Linked DNA regions of Mytilus edulis. The protein of the gene in region 1 interacts with the protein of each later gene in a pairwise test. Links are inferred from orthologs where the notes say so. Each region holds a gene or a part of one and is shown on either strand. Other genes may lie near its edges.

What was found.
Region 2: the proteins of phosphatidylserine lipase ABHD16A-like (region 1) and reticulophagy regulator 3-like interact in binary tests that used the Homo sapiens proteins (3 or more experiments, as listed by UniProt). The link is inferred for Mytilus edulis from reciprocal best matches to the Homo sapiens genes ABHD16A and RETREG3.

What each region holds. Positions count from the first base shown.
Region 1 is NC_092345.1:3,769,988-3,779,841, reverse strand, and holds the start of phosphatidylserine lipase ABHD16A-like, read left to right. Parts: upstream 1-5,935; 5' UTR 5,936-6,006; coding exon 6,007-6,093; intron 6,094-9,399; exon of another isoform or gene 9,400-9,464; intron 9,465-9,854. Other genes in the region: calcyclin-binding protein-like, read right to left, coding at 795-942, 1,794-1,891, 2,428-2,527, 3,561-3,657, 4,066-4,276, 5,651-5,671. UniProt on the Homo sapiens protein: Phosphatidylserine (PS) lipase that mediates the hydrolysis of phosphatidylserine to generate lysophosphatidylserine (LPS). LPS constitutes a class of signaling lipids that regulates immunological and neurological processes.
Region 2 is NC_092345.1:86,086,973-86,097,475, forward strand, and holds the start of reticulophagy regulator 3-like, read left to right. Parts: upstream 1-5,455; 5' UTR 5,456-5,542; coding exon 5,543-5,715; intron 5,716-6,557; coding exon 6,558-6,664; intron 6,665-7,245; coding exon 7,246-7,276; intron 7,277-8,278; coding exon 8,279-8,405; intron 8,406-9,475; coding exon 9,476-9,560; intron 9,561-10,406; coding exon 10,407-10,503. UniProt on the Homo sapiens protein: Endoplasmic reticulum (ER)-anchored autophagy regulator which exists in an inactive state under basal conditions but is activated following cellular stress.

The DNA.
Region 1 (9,854 bases):
TATTACCCCATGTCAGATTTGCTCTAAATGCTTTGGTTTTTGAGTTATAAGCCAAAAACTGCATTTTACCCCTATGTTCTATTTTTAGCCATGGCGGCCATCTTGGTTGGTTGGCCGGGTCACCGGACACATTTTTTAAACTAGATACCCCAATGATGATTGTGGCCAAGTTTGGTTAAATTTGGCCCAGTAGTTTCAGAGGAGAAGATTTTTGTAAAAGTTAACGCAGGACGACGACGACGGACGACGACGACGACGGACAACGCCGGACGCCAAGTGATGAGAAAAGCTCACTTGGCCCTTTGGGCCAGGTGAGCTAAAAAAATAACTCCTGAAATGTATATCTTTTTGTGTATGTACAAGTAGTCATCAAAATAAAGAAGAAATAGTGGAAAATTGTTACAAGACTAATGGATGAAAAATCCTGAGACATTATGCTAAAAAATGACAAATTTCAACAACCTCGGGTCCCTTAATTTTGTACAGAACTTCACAAAAGCATAATCAAACACTGACAAAATAAACACCGTTGGTATATGAACAAACAATATTATTGAACATAAGTACATAACTGTACAAAGAGTATGTTTTGATATGAGATGTGCCTTAAAAATAGGTACAAACTACAAAGTCAGATATTTATTAGTTGATACATGATTATGACAGTTTAACACAATTAGTATGAAATTCTACATTGATGAGATAATTATTCTTCAGATATTTGATACATTTTAAAAAATCTATGCTTCTTTTTGCTGTCAATCATTTGTACATGTATGTGATGATGATTAGAATTATTCCGTGTCTTTTGATTGTTTGTTCCTATTTTCACTCCATGCCTTTGCTATAGTTTTCTTCATCTCGTCATCTCCGTCTTCATACATCTGTTTCATCATGGTCATCAAACTGTCATTAGGATCAGCATTTTCATCCACTTTCGGTCTGAAACAAATAAGTCAACATAAACTTTGATTCAGATTGATTTTTTAATTTAAAACAAGCATAAAAAATAGATGAAAAAGTGCCTCGTAAAACTTTCTTTTATTTAGAGTAGAAAAATTTGTAATATAGTATATGAATCATATGTAAAAAGTAAAATCACAAAAATACTGAACTTAGACGAAAATCAATTCAGAAAGTCCATAATCACATGGCAAAATCAAATGTAACATATATCTTTCTTCAATAATGAACTTGTACTTAATTATCTCTTATTGTTTCAGTAAATCTTAAATAAATGGGGAATGTGTAAATGGGACAAAGATAATGCCCCAGCTGGCATATAATTGTTATAATGGGACATAACTCAAAAATGGTAGAAGTGACGATACCTAACTTTGTACTTGATCTGAGTTTTGTGATAAGAAGCATTAAGTTAGAAAAAGGAAACGAGAGAATCAGTATTTTTTCCATTTGAACAGGGGCATAACTAACAGTAATAGTGACATCACCAAAATTCAAACTTGATCTGTGTTTGTGCTAATAAGTAATGTGTAAAAGTTAAATCACTAAATTCAGGCAAACTAAAGTTAGAGAATAGAAACTTATTTTTGGAAGTAAGGACGGACATTATAATGCAACATTTAGTACATAAAACGTTTATTGAACAATATTAGACACAAAATTCTTAATAAATATTTTATCAATATATAAGTTGCCAAGTTTTCATTTTGCTTAATCATGGTTTTGAATTTCATGACTTTTATAGCAGGCAATACAAAAAAATGTAAAAAAGATGGATAAAAGATGGAATTATGAGTAAAGCAAAATGAATAAAAAATAGTATGTCTTACTTTTTGGCTTCCTTTTCTTTATGTTCTCGCTGGGTGACATGTGACCAGGTTTTTGTATTGTCCTTTCTCATCATTACCAGGACAGTGTCTGTTTTAATCTGTAATAATGGAATACAAAATTGTCATATCTCTTTACACACAAGCATTCATACCTTAATTTCATTCATTTCACAGGTATCACAGGTTAAAAACAGGATAATCATAATAAATATGACTGAAGTTATTGGCAGAAACAAGTTAGAGTAAAATATCATTAGTGTACAATAACACACAGAACTCTAAAATCTGGAATATTTTATGTCAATGCACCATAAATAATCCCAAAGGTATTTCAGCAGATTGCCTATCCCCCTTTGAGCATTGCTACCGTAAGCAGAATGCAGGCTACCTACAAACAACCAAGAATCATTCCGTGCTCACTACAATGAGCAATTTTATTCAGCACATCCATGACCATCCATGTACTAAAAGTATTTTTGTCTTTTGTGGATTCTTAATTTTACCATTTTATCTGTGAATATTTCAAGGACTAAGTGCAATATGTATAACCTTCCTGTATTTACCTGAGTTTACCTGTACAAAATGTATATTATTGATAAACTGATTGATATAAATATCCAACTTCTAATTTTACCTTGAAAAAACTTTCACTGGGTTGTATATCCTCAAAAAGTTTGGAAATATAAAGTTCATGATTTTTACCATCCAAGTCGTTCACATTTAATCTGATGGTTCTGGAAAATGAAAAAAATCTTCCATGAGAAATCGTTTTCAAAAACTGATGAATTATATTTGTTTGTGTCAAACCTTCATTTTACACACATCTTTGTCAATCTAGTGTAATTGTATGTGACTGCCATACAAGTGAGCTATAAAACAAGGTTAAACAATAGAAAATGCATGTACCAAGTCAGGGATATGACAGTTGTTATCCATTTGTTCGTTGTGTTTGATCTTTTGATTTTGTCATTTGATTAAGGACTTTTCATTTTGAATTTTCAGTATTTTTGTGATTTTACTTTTTACATAGAACACCTCCCATTGTATAAATGGTAAGTATGAAGTGGGAACAGAGCATCTCTTATTCCTTCTTTGATATATGCACTTTTTTGAAGATATTCATCTTATTAGCATATAAATTGATTTTCATTTTTTTGTCCCTTTAAATAAGCAAACACATGTATTTTTCTATGGCAGTACCTGTTGACCTATTTTTCTATGGCAGTACCTGTTGACCTATTTTTCTATGGCAGTACCTGTTGACCTATTACCGTAAGTACTAAAGTACAAACTGTTATAAAATTGATATTCCTAGTACATTTTCCTGTGGATTCATTTGTTTTCGTTGGTACCAATTTTCGTGGATTGTGGAAACCTTGCATTTTTGTCGATACTTGATTTCTTTGTTTTGCCCATCTGTGCATACAATATGTAGAAAGACTTTAAGAAAATTTGTAATTCATTGAATATTTAAATCTGTGGTTCAACTGTTCCAACGAAACCAAGGAAACCCAAGGAACTTAGTATCCAATGAATAATAATGAATCCACAGTATTTATAGGAAAAAATTAGCTTTGAGCATACATGTTAGCTAGTTTAATCAAGAAAGACACTTTAAGTACAGTAGCTTCTATGTTTGATTCGGAACAGTTATTGTCATGACTGTATTCCTCATTCTTTAAAGAGGACCCTTGTTCATTTTAAGTTTTAAATATGTTCCGTAGATATTTAGGTCATTCAAAACTATAGCATTATCCTTAGCCTTACCTTTTTGTGAATTGAGTGGTAATTTGATCTTTAGGTAAAGATTGTACACCTTTCAAGGTGACATACAGTTTCATAAACTTTTCTGATTGATCCCATGCTGAAAGGAATTCAAAAATCATAAAAATACTTTTTAATCCTTGCTAAATTCATTTGTCTTTTGTCAAAATCATAGAACTTTTGTTTTTTTTAGAAACAATTTAGCCTTCATTTAATTTAGGAAACAGCTTTTATATCTATTTACAATTTGAAAAACATTTTGAAAAAGAAACGTTGTAAAAAATTTAAGTTTAAATCTGGAATGGTTCTACATGATATTTATATATAGTCATTGACTGTACAAAACATTTGCATGAAAATGTACAGATTGTCATACTGATTTTTTAATGAAAGGTTGGATTTTAAGAATGAGCTAGGAACATCCATTACTAATAATAGGGGATAGTTGTCTTATTGGCAATCATACTGCATCTCCTTTAATATTTTGATAAGAACATTCATTACTCACCATAGGTATGTATTGTGACTGTGTAAGGTCCTGTCTTTGGTTTCACTGTTGTTCCTGGTATTGATTTTTGTTCTGTTGAACTTTTTAGGCGATCCTGTTTTTGTATTAACTCAGTTTCCAATTTTCTTTTATCCAAACCAAGAAGATCTTTAACTCGTGTTCGACAAGCAGATTCTAGTAAACTATTAATTTCTTCAATATCACTCTTCAACTAATAAAGAAATTGAAAATAAAGAAAGATACATATAATACATGAAAACTTTATTTTAAACATCACTGTCATTCTGTAAACAGTTAGTATAATAGTCCCAGGCCTTATAAATATGAGGGTCATCATAGGGGTACCTTCAAACCAAATAAATAATAAAAAAAAACTTGCCAATTGACTTACAGTAATTTTTGGTGCATAACGATAAAATGTGTATTTTCTTTATGACAATCATGACAATAAAAAAAAATTAATGCTTTTGGTGAATCACAATAAATCGTTTCTGAAATTAACAGAAACAGATAATCATATGAGAACCTCAGAGCTCTAAAGAATCATGAATCATGATAAGTATATTTTGAAGAATCCAGATAAATTTTAACCTATTAATGTTAACAATGGTTAATGTTAACCGAAAATTACCATTTGAAAAATGACAGTAAAGGTATTTCTTCCCTCAAATATACACTAGGAGTTAAGCCATGAAACCCAAAGTTCAAAATGGTGAAGTTGACCCCTTTGTAAATTTTATGATTACAAGTTGGTTGACTGTAATGGAAAATCTGTTTCTCAGATGATAGCAGATATGTTTTATCACAGGAGTTTAAAATCCTATGAATAACGGGGTAAAACTATACCAAACTCGACTATCACAGTAGAGTTTCTCTCGAAGAGAGCGTTTATTCCGACTCAAAACATCCCTTTTCAAAAAATTAGGAACAATGAGGAAAATGCATTGCATTCCTGTCGCTTATCTCTTTGAGAGAAGCTCTACTGTGATAGTCAAGTTTGGTATAGTTTTTATCCCGTTGGTGGTGCCACATGTGTAGCAGCTAGGATCTGCTTACCCTTCAAGAGCACCTGGGTTAGTGTTGCAAGGTTTTTAGTAAAAGTTTATTTTTCTATATTGTGTTTGTGTACTATACACCTTATCGCTAATCCCTGCTGACCCGGCCGCTTGAACTTTTGATGCATACAACAATCACTTTTCCATTGTGGCGTCAGATATTTTTTTTAAGACATCAAAATTTTACGGGAACCTGTGTGATATCCAGTAATGGCGGACAAATAGCGATAAGGTGTATTGTTCATCTGTTGGTCTTTTCCTTGTTTTTTTTTTTTAATTTGGACAAAGAGACACAAATTTTAATATTGATTTTGGACAAGGAGATTCAAATAATTTTAATATTGATTTTAAAAAAAAATATATGAACTGTTCTGTTATCTTTTGTTTTAAAAAAAAAAAGGGGGGAGGGGGGGTGCCATGCACTATCAATATCAAACCGAAACCAAAATTTTATAAAAATGGCACGTGTAAAAAATTCTGCAGTAAAGCGTGTAACTACAAGTGGATGGGAGTGAACATCATATACTTACTTCTTCAATTTGTTTTTCCATGTTTAAACTAAGGGAATTATTGAATTTCGGTTGTGAGAGAGGCACAAAGAGGCAAATTGGTCTATCCAACTTTCACTTTCGATTCTGGAAAGTTCATTTTTTGATGGTATTAGTGTTTGAATTTGTATTTGATATTTTCCCTTGAAAAAACATACAACCGATCTAAGTGTCGTTATCTTTTCGAAATTCTCTAGACTTTACATTAAATATGATGTGCAAACCCGAATTTTCCTTTTCTTGGTTATTGAAGAGTTTGAAACTATGTGTTTTCATCCTTTCTCAATATAAACATAGTTGACATTGACTCATTAGAGATGTTTTGTTGAACAAGCAAAATGTCATTAATTCGGCAAATATACAATCTATACAGATGTTGTAGGGGACCTCGGTTATTTAGAAAACACAGTGATGATACCCATCAGGTGATTAATCATAAATTATTCAAATATTTTAGGTTTACAAGTTCAAAGTTTCATACTGCACAAATAGATTTCACAAACTTGTATAGTCCGAGATTCTTCTTCTCTTCTTTTAGTTTCCGCACTCCATCATAATATTGATGACTATGTGCTCTTTCCAACGGCCCCAGCTTGTCTGGCAAAACAGCTGTTGGACGTCAGAGTAATCTGGGACTAAAACTTGTATTCCTCTTGGGACCAGTCGTCGACTAGTGATTTAATTATCTAAATGAAGATCTTGTTATTACACGACTGCAAAAATTTTTGGTATCACGTTGTCGTCAGCGTTGTCCAAAGACAGATGTTTTCCGGATAAGAACTTTAGTAATATGAGGCAGGTATTACCTGTGAATGGGGATGAAGTCTATTATTTTTTTTTTTTAATTCAAACATGTTGATAAAAGAAACGGAAGTACTGTAACGTTTCCGATTTTGGTTCTGTTGTTAGGGATTTAGTTGTGACGTCATATTCAATGTAAACAAAGAAACGCTGTTATCCAGGTAACGTTTTTTTCATTTGAATTCCTTCCTATATTTGTTGATATGTTAACAAATATACATTTTATTCAAAGTCTCATGCAAACAAGACCGGAAATTGTTGCAATTTTTCTCATTTTAGATTTCAGAAATTAAAAAGAAAATTTCTTCAAATATTTTATTTTTGAGAGGATTTATATTAACACTTTCACTACTGAATTTATTTTTTTCGCGGGATTCCCTGGCCGAAATTTATTTGCACGAGCCGTTTGCCTGACCGGGATTAATTTCACATGTGCTTCAGCAAAAACGACCTCGTAGTTTTGGTCATTGAAAACTCGGGAACTGTAGCGAGTTGTGCGGTCAAATTTTGATAAAATGTAGATAAATATCATAGGTTGAGCGTCCGTAACCTTTTCATAGAGTGAAAAGCAGTTTACCTTAAAAACGCGTGTCGAAAACGTTGATTGATTGAATCGGAAGATAATTTTTGTCATTGCCTACCGTATATCACTTTCACTTCCATTCGGCAACATTTCTTAAGCACACGTGTGTTTCAAAATTCTATTTCTATGAGCTACTGAATTATTTTCTTTCAAAACCCGTTTCCGTTTTCGTTTTCTTGGCAATAATACTTGTAAATCGAGACTGTCGTTCACGTAGATTTTGGCCGCCATTTGTTTACGGTTTCGAAAGAAGAAAGATAACTCGGGCTCGATAACGGACAATAACTCTTCGAGACGAGTTGTATAATACCCCCAGCGTTGATGTGCGATTACTGAACTAATTAAAAATAATTGTTAACTGCAATAATAATTGATGGGACTTCATTACTTTATGACTTAACCCCAGTAATGCCTTAATTCTTCCACATGTGAATGAGATAAAGCTTTCCAATAGATAAAATAAATGAACCCAAAAAGTGATTTTTTTTTTAAAGTTCTAAATCCATGAAATTTCCAATAAATTTGATTTGGGTCATGGGGGTTGTATAATATAAAAAAAATGTTTAAGCATTAATATATGTACTACAAATAAGCAAATATTCAGCTGTATCTCAAGATAAAGAGCCTAGTGAATTTTTTTTTTTTGAAAATTGTTGAAATTAAATTTGAACTTTGTAGTCAAAATTTAGGATGTATAAGACAACATAAAATTGACAAATACATCAACTGATGTTTGTTAAAGCAGCACAAATAAATACTAAAAGCTGGCAATTAATATTTTATAAATTTATTTTCATCATAGTTAAATTTATTAATCATATTCAGTAGAGGTAAAGAAGATAATATATGCAGACAACTACTGGGTACTGTTTTATTTAAACTCATGATATGTAGACACAGATGCAAGTCGTTGAAAACTATTGCAAAAAAGGGATTAAAATACATCATGTACATGTTTTACTGCAAAATGCAGTTTTAAAATTCATTGATGGAAAGCTACACCAGGGAGCTGCATGATATAGTTTGTAATAACATTTGGAAGCTATGAAATTTGTTTTAGTTTATAATGCTGCATACTCATTGAATAGGAGGATTCATATCATAAATTTTGATTTTAAAATTGAGTGAGGACAATGGAAACTATTTTTTTTTATTTTCTGTTTATATTGTTGGGTTATTTAATGGAATGGTTTGTCAAAAAGTGAATAAAAATTACTTGAGTGAGGTTGTTATACTATAACCATTGTTACCAGTCTATTAATTAATCTTTTACATCCAGCAGCAAGTGTTACTTACATATAAGCCTATATATTAATGTGGTATGAAGATACCTGCTTATGTGTACTAGTCCCATAAACAGTGTTAATTTAAGAAGCTGACTTGCAAGGTGACAGCTACAAGACCCTAATGTGGTCCCATTATCCCATTTCCAATTTGATCAGTTTTTTCTCTTACTCCTTACTACTACATGTATATGACTTGGCATCTGAGAGAAGAAGCAATTTATATACCATTTGAAGTCCCTTTTTGAACACAAAAAAGATGTTTCCTAGTGTTAAAAATGGTTGCTTATATTGGCATTACAAATTGTAATAAACTTTAGGCACTGCCGCACTGGTCATTCATCTTTTGTGTTAGTGTGCTACATGAGGGGGAGTTCTTCCTCATAATTTCCATAACAAAAAATTTAACCCCTATATTGTTTTCAGAAACATACAGGAACAGTATTATTTTACAATAATAAATGATGCCATCTCAAGATTAATCAGAAGCAACAGACAACACCTTATGTTATTTCACTTTGGGGAAAAAAATCACTTCCCTCCAGCAAAAATTTTTTTTTTTCCCCCTTTCCAATTCTCAAAAAAAAAAAAAAAAAATTCCCTTCCCTTCTAAAACAAATATAATTTTTTTCACTTCCCTTCTTTGACAATGTTTTTTTTTAAATGAGAAAGAAAACAATTTGTTACATAAAATAATCATCTTGGCATCTTTCAGGATTTTTTTACTCTCTGTCAACATTATTTGTTTTTCAAAACAACTTTTAAAATTTTTGTATGCTGAACAAGACTTTTAAAAACCTCTGTCACAAGACGAGATACATCATGGAAAATAATTTACACTCGATTAAAATACGAATAAGATTGCAGAATATTGTCTCATCTTTCGAAACCACTTTTATGTAAAATAATAAATCTATGAGATGTAACAACACGTGTTTTTATGAACCGCACTATTTATAGACTCAGCTGTCAATTTTGTCAATATCCGGTTCTATTTAAAATAAAAGTGGACTTTCGTTTTGTCGACCTACATACTGCAGTACAGCCTTTCAATGAAAAGAATAAAACCCGTAACACTACAGACTCCTGAGAGTGTCTAAAACGATGATAAAAGACTCTGACTCAATCGGTAATGAAAGGTTGACTGTCAAACGGCAACGAGAAATAATTATTTACAGTCGTGCACCTGATGGCGACAATCAAAGTCTCGATTTCAGGTTGTTTTACAAATATCCTTCTCACAACTCCAAAATATACATACAATCACTACTTTTGTTCAATTTAAACGACTTTCATGACCGCAGGTTAAGTTTTCTCAATGTTTCAACTCGAAATGAAACTCCTGACCACGATTGTTTATGATTCCGCCATTTTGTTTTTCACGAGGTTTTTTTTTCTCAACAATCTTTGAAAAAACATATTTTAACAGTGTTTTTACGCCCGATACTAAAATATCGAATGCATTTGGTGTTTATCATAACATCCATGGAGCAACGGGGCCAAGAAACATGTTTAAACG
Region 2 (10,503 bases), about 82 Mb from region 1:
TAATTTCAAAATCAAAATCGTCTCGTTTGTCATAGATTCTGGTACTGAGATCACTGTGTATGTCAAATTCGAGGTATAAGTCTAAAAATGAGGCGGAGGAAGCCGTGTCTGTTGTCTCTTTAATTTCTTGTTCTGGTGGATATATTAATGCAACCCAATCAAAAAAGTTCGGATTGTTAATGGAAAGAACATCAATATATCTGAAAGTGAAATTAAATAACCTGGCTTCTTTGATCTTCTTGTTTTTGACAAGTGTCTGAAGGAACTCCGATTCATATGAAAATAAGAAGAGGTCAGCAAGGAGAGGCGCGCAGTTCGTTCCCATAGGAATGCCGACAATTTGTTGAAAAAGTCTACCTCCAAATTCAACATATATGTTGTCAATAAGAAACTCCAGCATACTGATCACTTGTTCCTCTGTGTAGCATATTTTACCCTTTTGTTCACTATTAACAAAATACGCCTTATGGTATCCCAACGTAATAAATTTATAGCGTATGCTACCATTTTCATGATGAAAAGCATTGTGGATGTTTAGACGGTTTTTCAATTTCACATGGGGAATAGTGGTACACAAGGTTGAAAAATCAAAAGTTTTGATAGAACTAATTTCAGAAAAAGACTGAGATTTAAAATTATCCAGGAGTTTTTTTTTAGAGTTTTTAAGAATCCACATATGGTTAATACCACTACGCGAGTAAACAGTTTCACAGTATTTCTGAAGTATTTTCTTTCACTGCGGACAGAATTTTAGTCAATCTAATGGACAATTCTTTAGTGGAACATGCAGATGAGCTGGCAATGCACCGTTGTTTCTACGGAATTATGTGAAGTTTAGGTATCAAATAAAAACTAAGTAAGTCCTCCGATTTGTTGTTCAATGTAATGTTCATTGAAGCCATGAAGGACTTATGATTCGCCAAAATCTCATCCTTGTCAAATGATATGTTTTTGTATGTGGGATTACCTGAGTGCTCATTTATTCCTAAGTATATTACAAGACACTCGTAGTAATACGATTTACATGTATACAAAGACAATATTATTTGAAGCTTTGTCCGCAGGGACAACAACATACTTTTCTTGAAGACATGATAGACATTCTACAGCCTCTTTGTCTCTGAAAACGAACTTTGGTCGATCATTCACACAGTTTTTCAACTTATGAATGCGACGTTTTATCAGAGACCTGATTGTTTTGACCCATTCTGACAAAGTGTCCAGTTGAACTTCTTCTCGTTTAGCCCATGCTCTGGCGTAGTCCTCAATGGAATCCATAATTATTTTGAAATTATGGTTCCAATTGATGTGTTGGGGTTCTCTAAACTTAGGACCATGAGAAATCACCTTTCGGAGATTTTCATGTTGAATTATGTTTAGATTCCCAATATAACATGGCCAGTGGGACTGTAATTGTAAGGCGGGTGGGAATAGTCACATGTCAGAGGTTTTTTTTGGTATTGTTCTGAATCAAGGTCTTGTAATGCTTGTTTATAGTTAAATATTTATGGTTCAATGGTTTTGGTGTAACTGTAGGATACAATAGGAACAGACTGATTTTGAAAATGAATAGGAATTTTAGATGTTACCTCATTTTGATGTAGAACGTTGCTGATGTTGATTGCATCAATTCCTTTATTGGTAAAGTAAACAGGAAGGAATTTTCTCTTTTCCTCATGTAAAGGTTTCGATCTTACTGGTTTAAAAAGACGGAAAAGAGCTACATCACAAATTATACTGACAAGTCTGTATAATGGAGAAAATGTATTTATGCATCCTTTGTCAAGTGCATAATCTCTCAAACATTTTAGAAAATTAACAGGTAGTGAAAAAAGAATATTTCTAATGTAATGTAACCCTAGCGGATGATGAAGATGAGAAAGGAGGTCAATCGAAGCTTCTAGAGGGCGATCTAGATTTGGAAGATTTTTTTTACATTAGGCCGATGGTAACGTTTTTGTCCATGACTACGTTGGTTTCGTAAGGTAGTATTGAATAAACTCATTACATTAACATCACTGCAGGCTGGACTTGAAAAATTTCCTACTCATTTCACATTATCATTGCAACCATATGGCATTGCAGTACCTAGTTCCCTTATCCAGAAATTTTCTCAGTCTTTTAGAAAAGGAGTACTAAGTACAGGGCTATTTGTGTGGTGATAAATTTTCTCGATGATTCGTACTTTCATAGACAAAGAAGGATCATGGTCCGGTTGATTAAAGTGGTTATAAAGAACCCTGAATTGCGGATCTTTATGATCAGACCGGTGTTGATTCATCCTTTTACGTAAAGTTTGTCGAGTTTCACCAACATAAAGTAGTCCACACAAAGTACATTCAATTCCGTACACGACATTGTCTGTGGAACAGTCCAGAGGCTCGAACACTGGTGATAAATAAATAATTTTACCAGTCACTTGAGCTAATTGCCTAGCAGAGAAAAACAAAAAAATTTCTAAAATTTCATCTATAGATTGTAACAAATTATTTAATCTTCTTTCGGGAATTTAAATGCAGAATTGAGCAGAATCCCAAGTGATTCCTAACCATTCTAACTTTTGGGAAGGTTCAAAAAAAGATTTTTCTAAATTGACTACAAAACCAGCCTCTTTTAGTGACTTTTTCAAAAATTCGGAATCTTTCTGACATAATTCGTAATATGAAGCCATTCCGAAACCATCATCTAAATACAAAACAATATCAATCGAATTTTGTCTCCAATATTTGACCATAGATCTCAAACATTTAGTAAACAAGTAAGGGCTAGAAGCTAGACCAAAAACTAAAACTGAAAAACAGTAATACTTGTTATTCCAGGAAAAACCAAGAATTTTTTGTTGCCGAGCACAAATGTCGTAATGATGATAACCAGATTTTAAATCGAACTTAAACAGATAAGAACCTCTTTTGAAAAATTGAATAGCTGTTTTCCAGTCTTCAAATTTAAATCTCTCTTTTTTGACGGATTTATTTAAAATTGAAAGATCTATTATTAACTTCTTTTTTCCGGACTTATTGGTGGCTACTGATAAAGGATTAACAATAGAAGGCGTAAAGGGAATTTCATATGCACACCCAGAATAAACTAATTCTAAAACGGCTTTATCCACAAATTCTGAGTTAGAAACAGCAGATTTATTGTTTTTCATGTGCATACTGGGGGAGGCACTAAAAATGGCATTACATAACCGTTTTTAATTGTATCTAAAACAAAATCACTAGCTCCAATCTTAACCCAAAAATCGTAACGTTTTGCAAGCCTACCTTTAAAGTTATGACTAGCAGAAAAATCTAATTTTTCAAGAAAATGAACTTGTGACATAAATTCGTCAAGTTCGTCGTTATTGCATTCATAGCTAGAAGATAACAAACTTATATCTAGATACTTATCATTAACAGTAACTGTATCATTGCTGTTTGGATGGCTGGTAACTGGGTGCAGAAGCTGTGGCTACTTGAAGTTGAGTGGGCAGTTTCTCTCCAGTGACCATACTGCTTGCAGTAGGGACAGGTGTCCATGGGGCACGGCTTACGCCGTGCAGTGCTGGTACGATAGCGACTGAAATCGTAAGCTGGAGGAGGAGCAGGGGCAGTAGGGATACTTCCAACTGCTGGAGTAGGTCTAGCTGTATACGGCTGAGGGCGGGTCTTTTTCTCCTTAATACTTTTGAGGGCCATAGTATCGGCCTGGCGAATCTTTTTCTCGTCCTCATCATTTTCGGCGATATCGTTACTTTCATATTCTATCATGAACCGTAAGTTAACCCATCCCCCAGTGGAGTTATCAGCAATCCTGACGAGTTTGTTCCTTTCTTTAAGATAACCCACCAAATCACCAGTAATAGAAGAAATAGAAAGGGGAAAGCAACAGATAAAAGATCCTTGTGGATTTTGTTAAGACCATCCATAGTATTCTCATTAAAACGAAACTGAATCCGGTTCCCTTCTGATTTAAATTTAATATTAGCCTCATCTCTGTATTTCTTGTATAAATTGTCTTGCTCTGACAGAATGTCGGACTTTAAATCAACAAGTTTCTTATCCAAATAGTCTTTCAAAAGCCCAAAAGTGTCTACTACAGGTCACGGTTTTGTTGATTAGCTTGTGAATTGGAAGCATTAAGACGTTCGGCTGACCATGCAAGGGGTCCCTTAACAAATCTTCTTCATTCAAATCGAGTACTGGTTCGGACATATCTTTACCTAAACTAAGCTGCCTTACTAGACGGTATACGAGATTCGAATGACAATATATCTTAAATTACTTAAACAAGACAACTATTCGCGCTTTAAAAAATCCAGTGCTATAAATACAAAACAAATATCATACACAGGGACTCGGTAAGCAGATTAAAATTTTGTAAATCAATGTTTTTAATTTATTATTTTATTATTTCCTGTCTATTTGCATTACTTTATTAACGTATTTGACCTTGCCATCACTATTTCTTTGTTTTCTGGCAATGTGCAGTTTACTATCCATATCCGTATACTGAAAAATAGGATTTTTACTATCCGTATACTGAAAAATAGGATCATTTTACTATCCGTATACTGAAAAATAGGATTTTTACTATCCGTATACTGAAAAATCCTATAGGATTTTTCAGTATACGGATATATGGATAGTAAACTGCACATTGCCAGAAAACAAAGAAAGTGCAGTTTACTATCCATATCCGTTTACTGAAAAATAGTTTTACTATCCATATCTGTATACTGAAAAATAGTTTTTTTCAGTATACGGATATGGATAGTAAACTGCACATTGCCAGAAAACAAAGAAATAGTGATGGCAACGTTAAATACGTTAATAAAGTAATGCAAATAGACAGGAAATAATAAAAAAAATAATTAAAAACATTGATTTACAAAATTTTAATCTGCTAAACGAGTCCCTGTGATATCATACTCAATATATTTACGCAATGCGACAAATATTGACCAATCCGAAATATCATATATTTAAAACACAAACCTGTTTATTTAATATAAACACCAATAGATGAACGCTATGCGGACACTCACTCACGTGTGATTGTTTACATAACAGAAAACACGTGTATGCTCAACTTTAATAAATACATTTATGATCAACTATCATCACATCTTCTTACATCCAATAATAAACAAAGGTGAATGAGAAGCCGGGGAGAACCCCCGAGTCGACCAGTCACCTTTGATCCGACAACTCACAATCATACTCAAGATTGAAGTCGAGCTCACCCTTAAAATAGATAAAAAGCAGTCATAAAACCGGATTTATACTTTTCCGTAACTGATCACACTTTTAACATTTTTTTCTTATTTTTCCAGGTTAGGCCGACTGGTCAGTTACAGTACAACAATCCAAATGTCTATACATTTATATAAATTGAAATCGTTGTTCAACGATATAAATAATAAATCTTGTTTGATTTACAAATTTAAACATTTTTATAAGTCGTAGTCACATGATCAGAATACGTCATTTCCAAAACAAAAATGGCATCTGTTTGTTGACAAACATAAACAGCAATTTACTGGGTCAAATCAAGCAATATGGATAACCCTATGGTACTCAATGGAGATAGTTTAAATAGACACAGTGAACAAATATTGAAAAACATTCTAAGTCCGATTGAACCTTTTGTAATGCAAATTCAAAGTCTACTTGTGTGGGAAAGTCCAAGAAGAAGTGCAGTGTTATTTATTATTATTCATGCTATATTTTGGTAAGAACTGACTTAACAATAGCATTTGGCATGAACTGATATGTGGCTTTCAAAATGAAGAAGCCAAGGATTGCAAATAATTTGAAGCTAGGTGTTTCATTTGGTAAACAACATGAATAACAGAGGACGTTAAAATGCATCATGCAATGCGAGGTCAAACAGGACAAAATTCCAATTTCTAGAGTCTGTACAATAGCCACATTCATGGTTGCCTTTGTTCTGTTGGTTCTTTTACCTGTTCAACCTTGGAAAATTTACCTAAATTTATATTTGCTCTCATTAATTTGTTATGTTACGTTTTATTTTAAACAGGTATTATCATGATTATCCATAAGGTCCATTTGCTCCCAAAACATTTGCATCCTGCCTGTTTGCCCCTTAGGTCTGTTTGCACCCTATTCTTATTCAAATTCTAGTTGAACAAGTGGATGATTTTCATATGGGTGTATTTATGTATTTCCTTAAATATAATTCGTGAATTTTTATCATGTTCAAAAGAAATTATTTTTGTGATTAGATGATTTAAAATTATTATTGATATTTACAAAGTTTATTTGGTTACTTTAGTGAAAGTAAATTAAAAGACCGTAGTTAGCTTGGTTATGTTGATAGGAGTAGAACCAATAAACAGATATAGATTGTAATTGAAAAAATGAAAGACAATTATTTTTGACACTGGTTAACATTTTGCGACAGGTTTGTCCTTTGATAGCTCTTTGGAATCGTCTGCCTTTTGATTACAAGTCTAAGCTTAGGTACAAATGTACCAAGGAGTTATATAGTCTTACCAAACTAATACTTGTACAGATGAATAATACTGAGTCTTTGATATAATTTTGTAGGTTTTTTACAGTATTTGGTGGCAGAATTTATTTTCTTATCAGTACAGGATTGATAATTTCATATTTTGTACGGACTTGGAAGAGAAAGATATGGCCAGAGATTAGAGGTACCTATATATATTCAGATATAAACATGATAAAGCAGACATGTTAAATAATTGTAACCCTAAATTTACATGTACATGTTGAGCTGAAACAATATGCATACCTAATATATACAGTTCAACTGTGAATTCAAAGTCAAAACTTTATTTTTTATTGTTTGATTTCTTGATTCTTGATAAATCCAAACAATTAAGCTTCCCAGCTTTAAGTTGTCAAAATATACATTTGACAATCAAATAAACATCCTGACTACACACATATTGTAATCAGCTTTCAATCAGTATTAACATGATTAATAATTAAGTTAAGGATGTCAATTTGGGGAAGAATTACAAGTATCTATTGCTCATTGGTTTTACTGCACAATGCTTAAGTTATATAATTATATATATATCAGCACTCAGATAACATATTTTCAAATTGTTGTGGGTCATTGCATGTGAATAGTCTAAAGGCTGTCCAAGGAACTACATATAAATTAAATAGCTTATAACTACATGTACATGTCCCACTGCAATTGGCACAGCCTCCTGTTAAATATTAAGACACCAAACTCAATTAATTTTCCATGTTTTTTTTTCAGTTCCACCAAAAGAGCCTGAGGACCCAGACAGGTTTGTACACTATTGGTGGAGTTACACATTTACACAAATGTCAAATTAAAAAAAAATGAAGATCAATATTTGTAGTTTTATCACAATAAGTACAATGACTAAGGAATACTTGCATTTTTTTTGTAGTTTAAATTTTGAATGACAACATCCATAATCTATAAAAATAACAAATTGCACATGAAAGGACTGGTTGAGAATGAATTTCGTAACTGGGCACATTCAATTTTTAAACATGAGCCTGTACTTGTTTGTCTGAGATTGTTCTGACATCTTACAGACTTTTGTAAAAAATTACTGTTAATCCATTGAGGTTTATGTAGCTTAATTCTGAATTCTAATATATGTAACAACACAAATGATGTCAATGAATTGTATAATATAGGTAAGAGTGACCTACTTTTCATTTGAAGCTGCACGCTAATTTCAATAGTCTAAATGTTGCTTTCTTTACCTTTACATTTTTCTTAAGGGATTTTTTTCTGAGCTTTCAGTCTGTCGGTATCAATGCGAATTATTTAATCAGTTGTCAAAATATGTACAAATGTATAGGGTTAAATGATATTCAGAATATTCAGGTAATATATTACCTCTACAATGTACATTGAATAGGATTTTATTGTTCATGTATATCATGTATATGTTTTTATATTCAGTGAAAATATAAAAAAAGAGATGTGGTAAGATTGCCAATGATACAACTCTCTACAAAAGACCAAATGACACATAAATCAACAACTATAGGTAACCATAAGGCCTTCAATAGTGAGTAAAGTCCATACCGCATAGTGAGCTTTAAAAGGCCCCAACATGACCTATGTAAAATAGTTCAAACGAAAAAAAACTAATGGCCTAATCTGTGTACCAAAAAATGAATGAAAAACAAGTATATTACACATCAACAAATGACATATAATGTTCAAATGTTTGTCAACATCTAAATTCATAGTAAAGTTTTACTTACTCAACTATTGATTGACTGTCACAGTGTTTTATATTTTTTAGCTGGACACCTGTTCACCCTCGTTTACTGAGTGTGCCAGAAATATGTAAATATCTTGCTCAAATATGGTGCTCTTTTGCTAAAGTTGTAAATAGTTGCCTGTCTTTTAGAAGAAATTACAGATTTTTGGTAAGTTGTTTCATTTGATATTACATGTATAACTTTTGAACCTAATAGTTGCCATTAAAATCTTTTAGTAAAAAATATATTAAATGGTCCAGTTGTCATCAGAAATATATTTTCATAATTCTGTTGAAATTCTGGCTCCAGAAAGTATATTTAAGTTTCACACATTTTGAAAAAGCCACAAACACATTTTCTTCTTGAAATATTCAGCACACAGCATTTATTGAGTTGAATTAAATTAAAGTCATGAAATTTCAAATTTAAAAAAAATTTAAATATGTTTTATATACTTGAATGTCTAAATTTTACTTAAGAAAGCAAGTGTACATGGACTTTCTGGTAAAAGAAAATCTCTCATCTTATGATATCAAAATCTTCAGAAATGTACAGCTATTGAATTGTTGTCTTCCCTTACTCTAAGAGGACATTTAGTAGACGTTCATGCATTTGTTCAATAATATCTTGAAAATAAAATTTCAAAAAACTTGTTTCATAGGACTTTAAGTAAATCACATAATTAAAGCACACAGTCAAAGGTGGAATTACAATCACAACATTGCTATAATGTATATATATATATATCAGTATAATTGATTTTAAAAGTTGTTGTTAATTTTTAGTACGTCCAATGGGCAATAAACCAATTAACAGCCTTTTGGTTTTGTGAAAAAAAAAGTTTGAGGAAATTTGAAGTAGTATCTGTGATTCGCGGTGTCACACCGCTATACACTGAAATCGGTGAAAAGAGTTTGAAGTCACTCCCACTCTGCATGCACTGTACATGTAAGGCAACAACTTTTACCTCCAAAATAGATCACTTACTATGTGAATATAATGTGATGGGCCAACAACATACCAACTTTTAGTACTACATTTTTTGTATCATAACTTTAAAAAAAAAAAAGAATGGTGATTTGGGTTCCTTCAAATTGTTTAATACATGTATATAATATTATAAGTGATCTTCTTTACATCTATATTATGCCCTGAAAAAAATCCCATGCACAGCATAATAATGATGTATTTTAACCCCAATGCTATAATAAAAAAATGATGCTTATTTCTTGTTACAGTTTTGTATTGTAAGCTGTATTTTCTTCATATCACTGGCTGTACTGGGCCATTATATACCAGGATTGATGTTGTCTTATATAACTGGTAAGTTGGAATAGCTCTGTCAGAAATGACCCCTATTTTAACTACTTATATGTGTAGGTGGCCCTGTATTATTTTTGAAGTATTCATTCTTTGAGAATTCTAAGATTATCAAATTTTCACATCCATATGAAATATGTCTTTTTAATGTGTATTTTGTTAAGTGTGAAAATAAGAAGATGTGGTATGATAGCCAGTGAGACAACTCCTCACCAAAGACCAAATGGCATAGAATCTAAAAACATCTACAAAATCTTGATAATTGTTTCTATTCAAAAACATCAATAATTTCATTGTCAATAAAGTTAAAAATATAATGAAATATTATTACAAACTGATATTCATATTTAGTTATTTGTTTAAGTTACTGAATCAAATTGGGCAAAGAGAAAAAATAGAAATATATTTTTTTTTTTATTATAGTGTACAAAAATATTACATACACAATAAAATACACCGACCCATTGGGTCTATAAGTCACTTTCAAATAATAAAACATAATTCTTTTATCACGGATTTCAAACAAATTGTCTACAATGCTGACGGTTACAATCAGTTTTATTTAATATACAATAATGAACCTACAGTCCATGTCAATGAGTGACAAATCTTTCTCATGACATTGTTTATCTCTTGATTGACTTCTCTTAGGTTTTGCTAATTTGCAGAATTCATAAGATTACCTTTTTGGAATAAAGTTCAAATCAATGCTATCTTACATATCAAATACCAAAGTCATATTTATAACATAAACAATAAGTATTGCCAAGTTACTATTTGATATTTGACTTTCCAATAGACAATTGTAGCATATTTTAATTGATAATAATTAATTATTTTCTATTTTAGTGATTAGTTTTATGTTGTGGCCATGTGTTTTATATCATAACCTTCTACAAAGATTCTACCTCAAGTTTGAACCATTGTTCATGAAACTAGACTACTC